3 linked regions of the Callithrix jacchus genome follow. The protein of the gene in region 2 purifies or fractionates together with the protein of the main gene of each other region. This does not show direct contact. Links are inferred from orthologs where the notes say so. Each region holds a gene or a part of one and is shown on either strand. Other genes may lie near its edges.

Region 1 (4,264 bases), on a different chromosome or scaffold from region 2:
AATCCACCCGCCTTGGCCTCCCAAAGTGCTGGGATTTCCAACGTGAGCCACCATGCCCGACTCTCCCTCCTTTTTATTTTCTTTTGAGTCTGAGTCTCGGGCTGTTGCCCAGGCTGGAGTGCAATGGCGTGATGTCGGCTCACTGGTGCCTCCACTTCCCGGGTTCAAGCGATTCTCCTGCCTCAGCTTCCCGAGTAGCTGGGATTACAGCCATCTGCCACCACGCCCAGCTAATTTTTGTATTTTTAGTAGAGACGGGGTTTCAGCATGCTGGCCAGGCTGGTCTCGAACTCCTGATCTCAGGCGACCCTCCCGCCCCGGCCTCCCGAAGTGCTGGTATTACAGGAGTGAGCCACCGCGCCCAGCGCCTCCCTCCTTTTTCTAACCAACTTTGCACTCAACCCTTACAGCTTATTTTAAGTATCTCCCTCTCAACCCCCTTGCTTAAACTTCTTTGTAGAGTTCCCAAGGCTTCCTGTACTTATCTAGCAATTAAGAGCATTATCTTGTAATTCACGTCTTTATCTCTGCTAGACTAAGTCCTTGGAAGGGCGGAAACCAGGTTAAACTTTCCATTTCAATAGGCTAAACAGAGTGCCTTACACACAACAGTTGTTCAATTAGTATTTATTCAGTGAGTAACTATTTTCTTTGAAGGCGGCCAGAATACCAGAAAGATGGGGTCTTAACAGAGACAGAATTATAAATAAATCTAGAAGGAACAAGTGGGATGGAGTAAATAAATCTATAAGGAGCAAGTGGGTACGTGGACTTTTTCATAAACCCCTGTAACCTAGAAGCCGGGACTGCCCGGCTAGGGGGACCAGGCCAACTCGGCTGCCGACCGCAGCCACCCGCGGCGACTGGGGCTCCGGTGGACTGCCGGGGCCAGTGCGCGACCCCCAGCGAGGCAGGACAATAGCTTGGAATTCGGCCTCGTGTTTCCGGTGGGGCAGCCTCGCGCTGGGCCAGTGAGGCCAGGCGCTGGAGGCTCCGAGCCTAGCCTACGGCGAGGAAGGCGCGGCCCCTGGGCTCCAGCTGCCGCTACCACCTCCTCCCATTACGCCGTCGCCCCGCCCCGCCCCGCCCCGGAAGTGACTTGAGGCCTGTCCGGAACCTCTGGGCCCCGCGGCTGCAGCGTCACCAGCCGAGCCGGTGAGGGGCGGGCAGAGCGGCCACTGCCGCCGCCAACGAACCGGGAACCGCGCGGGGCCCAGCAGCACGCTGGCCAAGGAAGGGGGCCTAGCGATCGGTCCGAGGACGACGGGGCCGCCGGCGGCCGCAAGGCGACGAAGACGCGGAGGAGGCGGAGCCCGGAGAGGGGTGGGGGTCGGGGAGGGCTAGGGTGGGAGGGGGTGGGGTGGGGTGTCCCTGGGCTCATGGAGCCGGCCGAGCGGGCGGGAGGCGGAGAGTCCAGGGATCCCGGCGGGCGTCCAGAGCCGGGCCCACGGGGCTTCGTCCCGCAGAAGGAAATCGTCTACAACAAGCTCCTGCCCTACGCCGAGCGCCTAGACGCCGAGTCCGATTTGCTGCTGGCCCAGATCAAATGCAACCTGGGCCGGGCCGTGCAGCTCCAAGAGCTATGGCCCGGGGGCCTCTTCTGGACCAGGAAACTCTCCACGTAAGTGTGCCCCGGCCTGCGGCCCAGGCGAGGCGGAAACCCTCAATAAAAGGTGTCGGGGGTGGGTGCTCCTTATCCAGAGGGCTGGACCCTTAGCTCTGTACTCGCTGGAGCTGTCCCCGAGCGGTGGTCCCACGGTCATGACAGAGCCAGTGGAGCACTCAAGCCGTCCTCCTTGCCACTTTACTACGGGACTTCCCGGGTCACCCGCCATCCACGTCCTCCCCAGCTGCTTCTCCCGAAGCGTTCGGGTTGTTGTCTTCCGACTTGCGGGGCCCTGGGGGAGGGCCCGAGCCCCGAGGAAGAGAGGTGAGCCGTTCCCAAGAGTCCTCTTTGGACCTTTGCGCACGGGAGAGGCGGGGCACAGAGGATTTGTCTTTGGGGGAGTTCCTTGACTTCTTGACTTCTGTCTGTGCTTCCTCTGATTCTTCCTTCCCCTGCGATCCCCAGCTCTTCACATCTCCATTGGCGTCTAGTAACTTTCTGTATGGAAAGGAAGCCATAGGGAAACTTAGGGGTTCTGCTTTTTTGGGGCTCGCTCAGACCTGGCGGAGTTGATTGAAAAGTCAGACCTCATTCTTGAGGTTAACGTCTTAGACGTTAATGTTGACAATGTTGTTTAAGATTCTGAGGATTATGTGTTGCTCCTGTCGTGACATTTCTTTTGAAGAGACCTTTAAGATACTGAAAAAAACAGGGAAGAGCGCTGTCAGGATGTTTAGGGCGATATTGGTATCAGGCTTGAGTTAATTTGTTGAGTTGCTCAGATAACATAGATTACCTAAATCAGCTTCAGGAGTTATGTTGTTCTTTATAAAGTAGCTTCAAACAATAGTGTCAGTGAAATTAGAAAAAAAAAAAAAAAAAAACTAGTTAAAATACAGTCGGGGGAAAAAGTTAGATTTACTTGCTGGGTGGGCATCTTTACTGTATCCAAAGAGCTTTTTAAGAAAGAATTTTGCTGTATCTTGTTTGGTTAACTGTACATAAAATCTGGTAACATGGTATGTTCACGCATGTGGATATGGATGGGTGAACACACAAAACGAAGTCAGTTATTCAGTGTTTACCCAAATCTGCTGATTGAACTGAGTGATGACTCAGGGTTTTATAATAGTCTTGTCTATATTTCTTCACTGGATGATTCTTCTTTGACAGTTATTAGGGGGCCTCTGACAAATTTCTCATTTCTACTTGAGGGGTGGGTGGGAGTAGTTACCTTTTTAATTAAAAAGAAACAAAACTAAAACATGTAATTTTCCCTCTTCAAAGAGTGATCATGAAATGTCAAGGTTAACAACTCTTGTTGACTAGAGTATAAAGAAGTTTTTGGTGTTAGGATTCTTCAGAGAATGGGGTTGAGGGGCAGAAGCAGGAATGCAACAGGGAAAAGAACCACGGTTAGTCAAAAAAGAGTATAAATAGTTAAAATCCAAATGCTCTTTCAAGTGAGCCTCCTAGGTTTTCGTGTTCCTCAGGCACAGTAAAAATAGTCACTTTGTTACAGTAATTCCCCATTTTAATCACTTGGATTAGACTTGCCAGAGAATACCTACCATTTATGGGGACATAAACAGCTTTTTTTTAGATGTACAGTATATAAATATGCCATGGTGCCAAGACATGTCTGGTGTGGATTTATGAACCTAGAATCTACCAACGCCTAATTAACCATTGTTTTCTGAAGTATTTACTGTTATCAAGTTTGGTAAGTTAGCACCCAGTTTTGTTATTGTTTGGCTTATTAGGTAAAAAGTTTTTACCTAGAAAGGGCTAAAAATAACAGTGGAGCTAATTGTTTAGTGTTTAGGGATGAATTGCAGATAGCTTGATGGCTTTAATACCCATGAACCCATGGTATTAAGTTTATATCTAAATAACCAGCAAGAAATGCTATCGGGTAGAATTTTGTTTTGGAATAGTGGTTAGATGCTGGAAACTGATTGGTGGGATTGCACTATGAGATATTTTGAACGCGATGGGACATATTGTGATTTTGGTTGGGTGTGTGGTTTTTTTTTTTCCCTAAGTCATGTTAAGGTGACCTGTTTATAGTTGTGCTTGTTGTTTTTTAAGTCTTCTGTGTTGCATAAGTGAGCATCTGAATAATGCCAAAACGTGTGACGAAAGCTGAGTGGTGATCATATTTAGTACTTCAGAAAATAGAAAGTGGTAATGAAAAGAAAATCTAGTTTTTCCCACTAGCTCTGAGACTGTGGGAAAGTTACTTAATCATGTGTTTCAGTATTCTTGTGCCTGAAATGAGGGAACTAGACTAAATAATTCTTTTTTTTTTTGAGATGGAGTCTCGTTCTGTCACCCATGCTGGAGTGCAGTGGGCTCACAGCAACCTCTGCCTCTCAGATTTAAGCGATTCTCCTGCCTCAGTCTCCCAAGTAGGTGGGATTATAGGCAAGTTCCACCACACCCGGCTAATTTTTTTATTTTTAGTAGAGACAGAGTTTCACCATATTGGTCAGACTAGGCTTGAACTCCTGACCTCAAGTGATTTGCTCACCTCGGCCTCCCAGAGTGCTGAGATTACATGTGTGAACCACTGCACCCCGCCTGGACTAAATAATTGAGAACCGTTTCTGCTATGGTATTCTGCAGTTTTATTTTTTTAATCCTGTCAAGCCTCAC
Region 2 (3,649 bases):
TCTTTTCTTCCAGAGTTTGGGATGCTTTATCGTTATTATTTTTTCTCGTTGTATTCCCTAGAAGATAGAAAGGAGAAAGATTAACCCAGTTTTACACATTAAAAAAAAAACAAACAGACGCTCATAGGGGTTAAGTTTTTTGCCTAAGATTGGATTTACTAAGAAGGTACTCAGAATGCACAGAGAATTCCAGAGCTTGGTAGAGTGTAGCACACTACTCATTGGGAAATGCAATAGGCAGATAATTATTTTCTCTGAAGTCAAGTCTTGACTGCTGGTCAACTTATTTCTCTCTGAGACTACCCACTATCTTATCACTAAAACAGAAACTTATCTAGAGGTCAGGACTACTCTGTAATCTCCAGGTGATGTTAGGAACCCTTCCTACTTAGCACAGCTGGCTTAGAATTCCAAGTAAGTATATAACATGAGATTTGCAATAGGCACGGTGGCATGCCTACACTTTGGGAGGCCAAGGTGGAAGGATCACTTGAGCCTAGAAGTTCAAGACCAGCCAAGGCAACATAGACCCCATCTCTCTCTCTCTCTCTCTTTTTTTTTTTTTTTTTTTTGAGATAGAGTCTTGCTCTATTGCCCAGTGGTACAGTGTCACGATCTCAGCTCACTGAGATCCACCTTCCAGGTTCAAGTGATTCTTGTGCCTCAGCGTAGCTTCCAGAGTAGCTGGACTATAGGCACATGCCACCATGCCTGGCTAATTTTCGTGTTTTTAGTAGAGATGGGGTTTCATCATGTTGGCCAGGTGGTCTCAAACTCCCAACCTCAAGTAATCCTCCCACCTCAGCCTCCCAAAGTGCTGGGATTACAGGTATCAGCTACTGTGTCTGGCCAAGACCTCATCTCTTAAAAATAAAAATAAAAATTAGTGGGGCATGGTGGTATGTGCCTATAGTCCTAACTACTCAGGAGGCTGAGGTGGGAAATTCACCTGAGCCACAGTGGGGCTGCAGTGAGCTATGATTGCACTGCTGCACTCCAGCCTGAGCGACAGAACAACAACAACCCCTTTTAACTCCCCTCGCAACATCCCCACCCCCAGAAAAAAGCAAAAACAAGGAGTTTTTTAAGGCTGCCAAGTACCTGTGTTAATCAGTGTTCAAAGAATGTTAAATGCCATTTTTAGGACCATTAGCTATTATACTTCATGCCTCATAATGAGGTGTCTCACTTACTGTGCGTTTGATTGCATGCATTCATAAATTCAGAGATGGGGACATATTCATGGGCAAGGCCTGCTTACTACCCACTGAAGCAAATGCAAGAGGAGAAACACATCCTGCAGAGAAAAAGAAAGCCATTTAAAATGGAAGTCCCACCACTGATGCCTGGGGGCATAGACAGACTGAATTTAACATGGTAAACGACCCTGCTGGTGTAGAAAAAAATATTCATCCATTTGGCGATGAAGAGCAGCGCAGACTCAGTCATAGTTCTCTATAGCAACTTATGCTTTTAGATTTGCAGGTAATAAAAGAAAGAAAGGATATTTATAAATCCGTTATAATTTTTTTTATTACTTTTTTTTTGAAGATGGAGTTTCGCTCTTGTTGCCCAGGCTGAAGTGCAATGGCATGATTTTGGCTTACTGCAGCCTCCACCTCCCGGGTTCAAGTGATTCTCCTACCTCAGCTTCCTGAATAGCTGGGACTACAGGCGTCCACCATCACACCCGAATGACTTTTGTGTTTTTAGTAGAGACAGGGTTTCGCTTTGTTGACCAGGCTGGACTCGAACTCCTGACCTTGTGATCCACCTGCCTTAGCCTCCCAAAGTGCTGCGATTATAGGCGTGAGCTACCATGCCTAGCCTTTTCATTACTTTTTATTTGTCTCAAAATTACTTCTCAGTTAAGTCTAGTGATTTGACTTAAATATTTAAGACTTACTATACCTCCCCACCTCATGAGTTGTTTCTTTTCTCTCTTTTTTTTTTTGAACCCAGGCTGAAGTGCAGTGGCACAATCACGGTTCACTGCAGCCTTGACCTCCTGGTCTCAAGTGATCCTTTCACCTTAGCCTCCTGAGTTGGCACCACATGTGTGTGCTATCACACCTAGCTAAGTTTTTAGGGTTTTTTTTTTTTGTAGAAATGGAGTCCCACTATGTTGCCTAGGCTGGTCTCCAACTCCTGGGTTCAAGCAATCCATCCTGCTTCAGCCTCCCAAAGTGCTGGGATTATACCTGTAAGCTACTGCTCCCAGCTATAAATTGTTTCTTTAGTAGTGGGCATACAGTTTACCACTTGGGATTGGTCCAGATGTCCAGATTGAGTTTGTTTATTTCATTTGATGTGCTTGGAACATCTGCTTTTTTCAGTCTGTGGCCTGGCATTCTCAGAATTGTTTGTTGTTTTCAACAATTAGGAATGACAGAGAGCACCTGTGCTTTGCCTGTGCAGTGCTTAAAATTTTTTTTTATTTTTAATTTTTGTGCATTCATAGTCGTATATATTTATTGGGTGTATGTGATATTTTGATACAGGCATACAATGTGTAATAATCACATCAGGGTAAATGGGGTATCTGTCTCCTCAAGCATTTCTCCTTTGTGTGACAAATAATCCAGTTATATTCTTTTCATTATTTTAAAATATACAATTAAACTATTATTAATTATAGTCACTCTGTTTTGCTATCAAATACTTTTGAAGAAGGGCTTTTATGCAGGTTCTCATCTGTAGACTTTAAGAAGATAAGAGCTTTTTCATATACCTTAAAGTGCTCCAAATGCCCTTCTATTCAAAGAGAATAACCCAATGTCCCTTGACCTGTTACCATACTCCAAGTCCTCTAGATTTCCCTACATTTTTACTTGCACTGTGATTTACTCAGTTGCTGTTAATACTTTCTTTCTCATCAAGAGTCAGAATATTCCCATTTGCCATGGGAAGAGATGTTAGTGTTCTGCTTATCACTTTGCCATGTCTTGTCTTTGCAGACTCCATATCATGTCAACCTCCTCCTGGCTGGCTATGATGAGCATGAAGGGCCAGCGCTCTACTACATGGACTACCTGGCAGCCTTGGCCAAGGCCCCTTTTGCAGCCCATGGCTATGGTGCCTTCCTGACTCTCAGTATCCTGGACCGATACTATACACCGAGTAAGTACCAACACTCTAGGAAGGGAGCAGTGACAGACCCCTGCCCTCAGCTGCTTCCCATGTTTGTCCACCCTTGGAGTTGGGTGGCCAGGGCTTGAATAGGATGGATCTTAAAAAGCACAGGTAGGTCCCCCTCTGGAAGCTGCACTCTTCTGTGGGTCAGTAGGGTCTTCTAAAAACTGATTTAAGTCCTATTTTTGCCAGCCAAAATGAGGTATTACATATCTCTAGAGCTGGGTTTTGTTTTGAAGGAGGATTGGAATAGATGACATAGTGAATAAAACATTTTTATTGGGTTCTAAAATTCTTCAGTTCTAAGACTTAGTTTTTTCACTTACTTTGCTTTGCCTAGATGCTTATTGGCATCTCAGTAAAGAACAAGTGAGTAAAGGAAGTAGATATATATTTGTTTTGAACTTGCAAGGATGAATAGGTCCCCAGCATGACAACTGAAGTTTCTTTGCTTAAACATCAAAGCTTTCTAAGGCTACAAATCTGAGCCTACCATTGGTTGTCACCTACTGGCTGC
Region 3 (3,649 bases), on a different chromosome or scaffold from region 2:
AGGAAAACAGGTTTTACAGAAAACAGGTTGGTATGACTTGGCTCTGTTCTGGGTTATCTTAATTTTTGATAAGGGTTCAATATGTAAGTTCATTTGCTGGTGGGTTAACTACATTGTAGAAACTATTTTATGGGTTGCAGTCTTGTTAACCATGACCTTGGACTCATGTCTAAAAGTCTAATAATTAAATAATTACTACTGCAACCCCCTCTCCCCCCCCCCCTTTTTTTTTTTTTTGACTTTTCACTGTTTAGGTTTCTACCAATCAGTTTCAACCAAATATTGTTTTCTATTTCCCCTCTACGTCTTCTTTGGCCCGATTTCATGGTACAAAGACCATGGGCTAGAGTCAGAAAGGGCTGGATTCATATCCTTGAGTTTTCTATTCCTTTCTTTTTCTTTTCTTTCTTTTTTTTTTTTTTTTTAAGAGATCAGGGGTGTCTCTCTGTTACCGAGGCTTGCCTCAAACTCCTGGGCTCAAGTAGTCGTCCTGCCTCATCCTCATGGGCTGGGACTGCAGGTGCACACCATTGACTTTGCTTTTGAACTTCATTTACTCACTTCACTTTTCTAGCCTCATTTTCTTCATTTATAAAAATAGCATAACAACTACTTCTTAGGGTTGTTGTGAATATGAAATTTTGGGGGGGTTTGTAATGTCAAGAAAGGAAAATAAAAGTTTTTTAAATAAGATTTTATGTTAAGAGAGATACTTCTGGCTGGGCACAGTGACTCATTCAGCACTTTGGGAGGCCAAGGTGGATGGATTGCCTGAGCTCAGGAATTCAAGACCACCCTGGGCAACATGGCAAAATCTTGTCTCTATTAAAGAATATAATAACTAGCCAGGCGTGGTGCTGCGCAGTGCTGGTTCCAGCTACTTAAGAGGCTGAGGCAGGAGAATCGCTTGAACCTGGCAGGTAGAGTTTGCAGTGAGCTGAGATTATGCCACTGCACTCCAGCCTGGGTGACAGAGTGAGACTCTGTCTCAAAAAATAAAATAAAATAAAAGGCCAGGCGTGGTGGCTCACCCCTGTACTCCCAACATTTTGGGAGGCCAAGGCAGGTGGATCACTTGAAGTCAGGAGTTCAAGACCAACCTGGCCAACATGGTGAAACCCCATCTCTACCTAAAATACAAAAATTAGCTGAGTGTGGTGGCACGTGCCTGTAGTCCCAGCTACTCAGGATAATGTCTTGAACCCAGGAGGCAGAGGTTGCGTTGAGCTGAAATGACACCTCTACACTCCAGCCTGGGCAACAGAATGAGACTTTATCTAAAATAAAAAGAAAGAAAAAAGAAAGATACTCCTATGGAGCATCCATACATCCATGAGGATCAATAGCACAACAAATTATACGCACAAAATAATATGCAGCCCAATTGTTAAAATTCTTGATATGCATATGTTGAAAATTATCATGCCTATACTCCCATCACTTTAGGAGGCCAGGAATTGCAGACTAACCTAGGCAACAACAACAAAAATTAGTCAGGTGTGGTGTGGTGCATGACTATAGTCCAGCTACTTGGGAGGCTAAGGTGGGAGGATCATTTGAGCCCAGGAGATCAAGGCTGCAGGGATCCATGATCACGCCATTGCACTGCAGCCTAGGTGACAGAGTGAGACCCCCATCTCAAAAAATAAAAATTTAAATAGTTTGGGCAAGGTGGCTCATGCCTATAATCCCAGCACTTTGGGAGGCCAAGGCGGGTGGATCACCTGAGGTCAGGAGTTCAAGACCAGTCTGGCCAACATGGCGAAACCCGGTCTCCACTGAAATACAAAAATCAGCTGGGTGTGGTGGCATTCGTCTATAATCCCAGCTACTTGGGAGGCTGAGGCAGGAGAATGGCTTGTACCTGGGCAGCAGAGGTTGCAGTGAGCCAAGATCAGGCCCCTGTACTCCAGCCTGGGTGACACAGTGAGACTCCATTTCAAAAAAATAAAAAATATTAAAATTAAAAAAATTAATATGCTGTTGCGTATCATAGCTAATATCCTTGTTTTATGTAGTTTTCTAAGTGTTTTTACCTATGACATAATCTTTTTACATACCTGCAAAGAACATACTACTGTCATTTTCATTTTCCAGATAAGGTAGATGAAACTTAGAGGAGTTAAGAAAATTTCTAAGTTCATACTAATTAGGGCAGCTGCTACTCAAGTCTAGGTCCTTTGATTCCAGTTTTATAACTTTGCCTTATATGTGCTGTGTTGCATGTAATTGTGTGTCTAGGCCTGTCACTTGTTCTCTAATTACATGCTTATTTTTGTATTGGTCTAGGTTGGTGGAGATCATTGTGTATGACAGCATAATTTTTAAAAATCTCATTTTTCACTTCATATCCATTAGGATGGATATTACTTAAAAAAACCATAAAATAAGTGTTTTATGTGGAGAAACCATAACCCTTGTACATTTTACATTTCCTTCATCCAACATCTCCACTTCTAGGTATATACCAAAAAAAAATTGTACAAATGTTTATACACCCATGTTCATAGCAGCATTATTCATGATAACCAAAAAAAGGTGCAAGCAATTCAATGTTCATTGATAGTGAATCAATAAACAAAATGTGGTATATACATACAATGGAATATTACTCAGCCTTTAAAAAGAATGAGATTCTGGCACATGCTACAGCATGGAGGAATTTGCACCACTGATAACATTATGCCAAGTGTAGTAAGCCAGATACATAAGGACAGTACTGTATGATTCCACTTAGATGATATACTTGGAAGAATCCAGTTCACAGGAGGTAGAATGGTGGTTGGCAGGGGATGAAGGTAGGGAAGAAAGGGAATTATTGTTTAATAGATACAGAGTTTCAGTTTGGGTTGATGAAAACGTTCTAGAGATGGATAGTTATGATGGTTGCACAACAATGTGAATGTACGTAATAGCACTGAACTATGCATTTAAACATGGTTAAAATGGTAAATTTTATGTTGTGTATATTTTACCATGATGAAGAAGAATCTCATTGTTATCCTTCAAAGGAACTCGCTTTGAACGCTTGCTCGTGAGACTAGGTCATCAAGCAAAGAATGCCTCAATGGAGCTAAAAATTAGATGTTTGGATGCAATTTCATCTCTTCTGTACTTACCAGTAAGTAGACTGGGAAATTAATAAAGGACAGTGGGTCCCAGGTGTCCTGATTTCCAAATAAGTTCTTTTCTCCAGATGAATTAACCTTGTGATGAGATTTTCCTTTTCTTTCCTATAGCCTGAGCAGCAGACTGATGACCTTCTGAGGATGACAGAATACTGGTTTTCTTCTTTATCCCGGGATCCACTGGAGCTCTTCCGTGGCATTAGCAGTCAACCCTTCCCTGAACTACACTGTGCTGCCTTAAAAGTGTTCACAGTAGGTATTCTCTTCCATAGGTCCTTCTGGAACCCTGCCAGTTCAACACTTGAGTACTTACAGTGAGCTAGAGCCTGTGCCATCTCTGGGGATGCACAAGTGCAGAGTATAGTTTCTACCTTCTGCTACCTTAGAGACTAAAGAAGGAGACAGATTTATAAACAGATTGTTTCAGTAAAAGATACTAGGTGCTGTTTGAGGTTTGAACAGGATGCTATGTGATCGCATGGTTAATTCCAGAATTTTTATCTGCCATCCTCTGTTGACCT

The links.
Region 1: the proteins of PSMB2 (region 2) and PSME4 purify together in Homo sapiens (affinity purification with mass spectrometry; 3 studies listed by BioGRID and IntAct, counting the BioPlex papers as one, with this or other methods). This does not show direct contact. The link is inferred for Callithrix jacchus from reciprocal best matches to the Homo sapiens genes PSMB2 and PSME4.
Region 3: the proteins of PSMB2 (region 2) and PSMD5 fractionate together in Homo sapiens (co-fractionation; 3 studies listed by BioGRID). This does not show direct contact. The link is inferred for Callithrix jacchus from reciprocal best matches to the Homo sapiens genes PSMB2 and PSMD5.

Annotation. Positions count from the first base shown.
Region 1 is NC_133515.1:60,550,533-60,554,796, forward strand, and holds the start of PSME4 (proteasome activator complex subunit 4), read left to right. Parts: upstream 1-1,336; 5' UTR 1,337-1,379; coding exon 1,380-1,621; intron 1,622-4,264. UniProt on the Homo sapiens protein: Associated component of the proteasome that specifically recognizes acetylated histones and promotes ATP- and ubiquitin-independent degradation of core histones during spermatogenesis and DNA damage response.
Region 2 is NC_133508.1:72,192,621-72,196,269, reverse strand, and holds part of PSMB2 (proteasome subunit beta type-2), read left to right. Parts: intron 1-2,957; coding exon 2,958-3,120; intron 3,121-3,649. UniProt on the Homo sapiens protein: Non-catalytic component of the 20S core proteasome complex involved in the proteolytic degradation of most intracellular proteins. This complex plays numerous essential roles within the cell by associating with different regulatory particles.
Region 3 is NC_133502.1:169,227,766-169,231,414, reverse strand, and holds part of PSMD5 (26S proteasome non-ATPase regulatory subunit 5), read left to right. Parts: coding exon 1-26; intron 27-3,011; coding exon 3,012-3,121; intron 3,122-3,239; coding exon 3,240-3,380; intron 3,381-3,649. UniProt on the Homo sapiens protein: Acts as a chaperone during the assembly of the 26S proteasome, specifically of the base subcomplex of the PA700/19S regulatory complex (RC).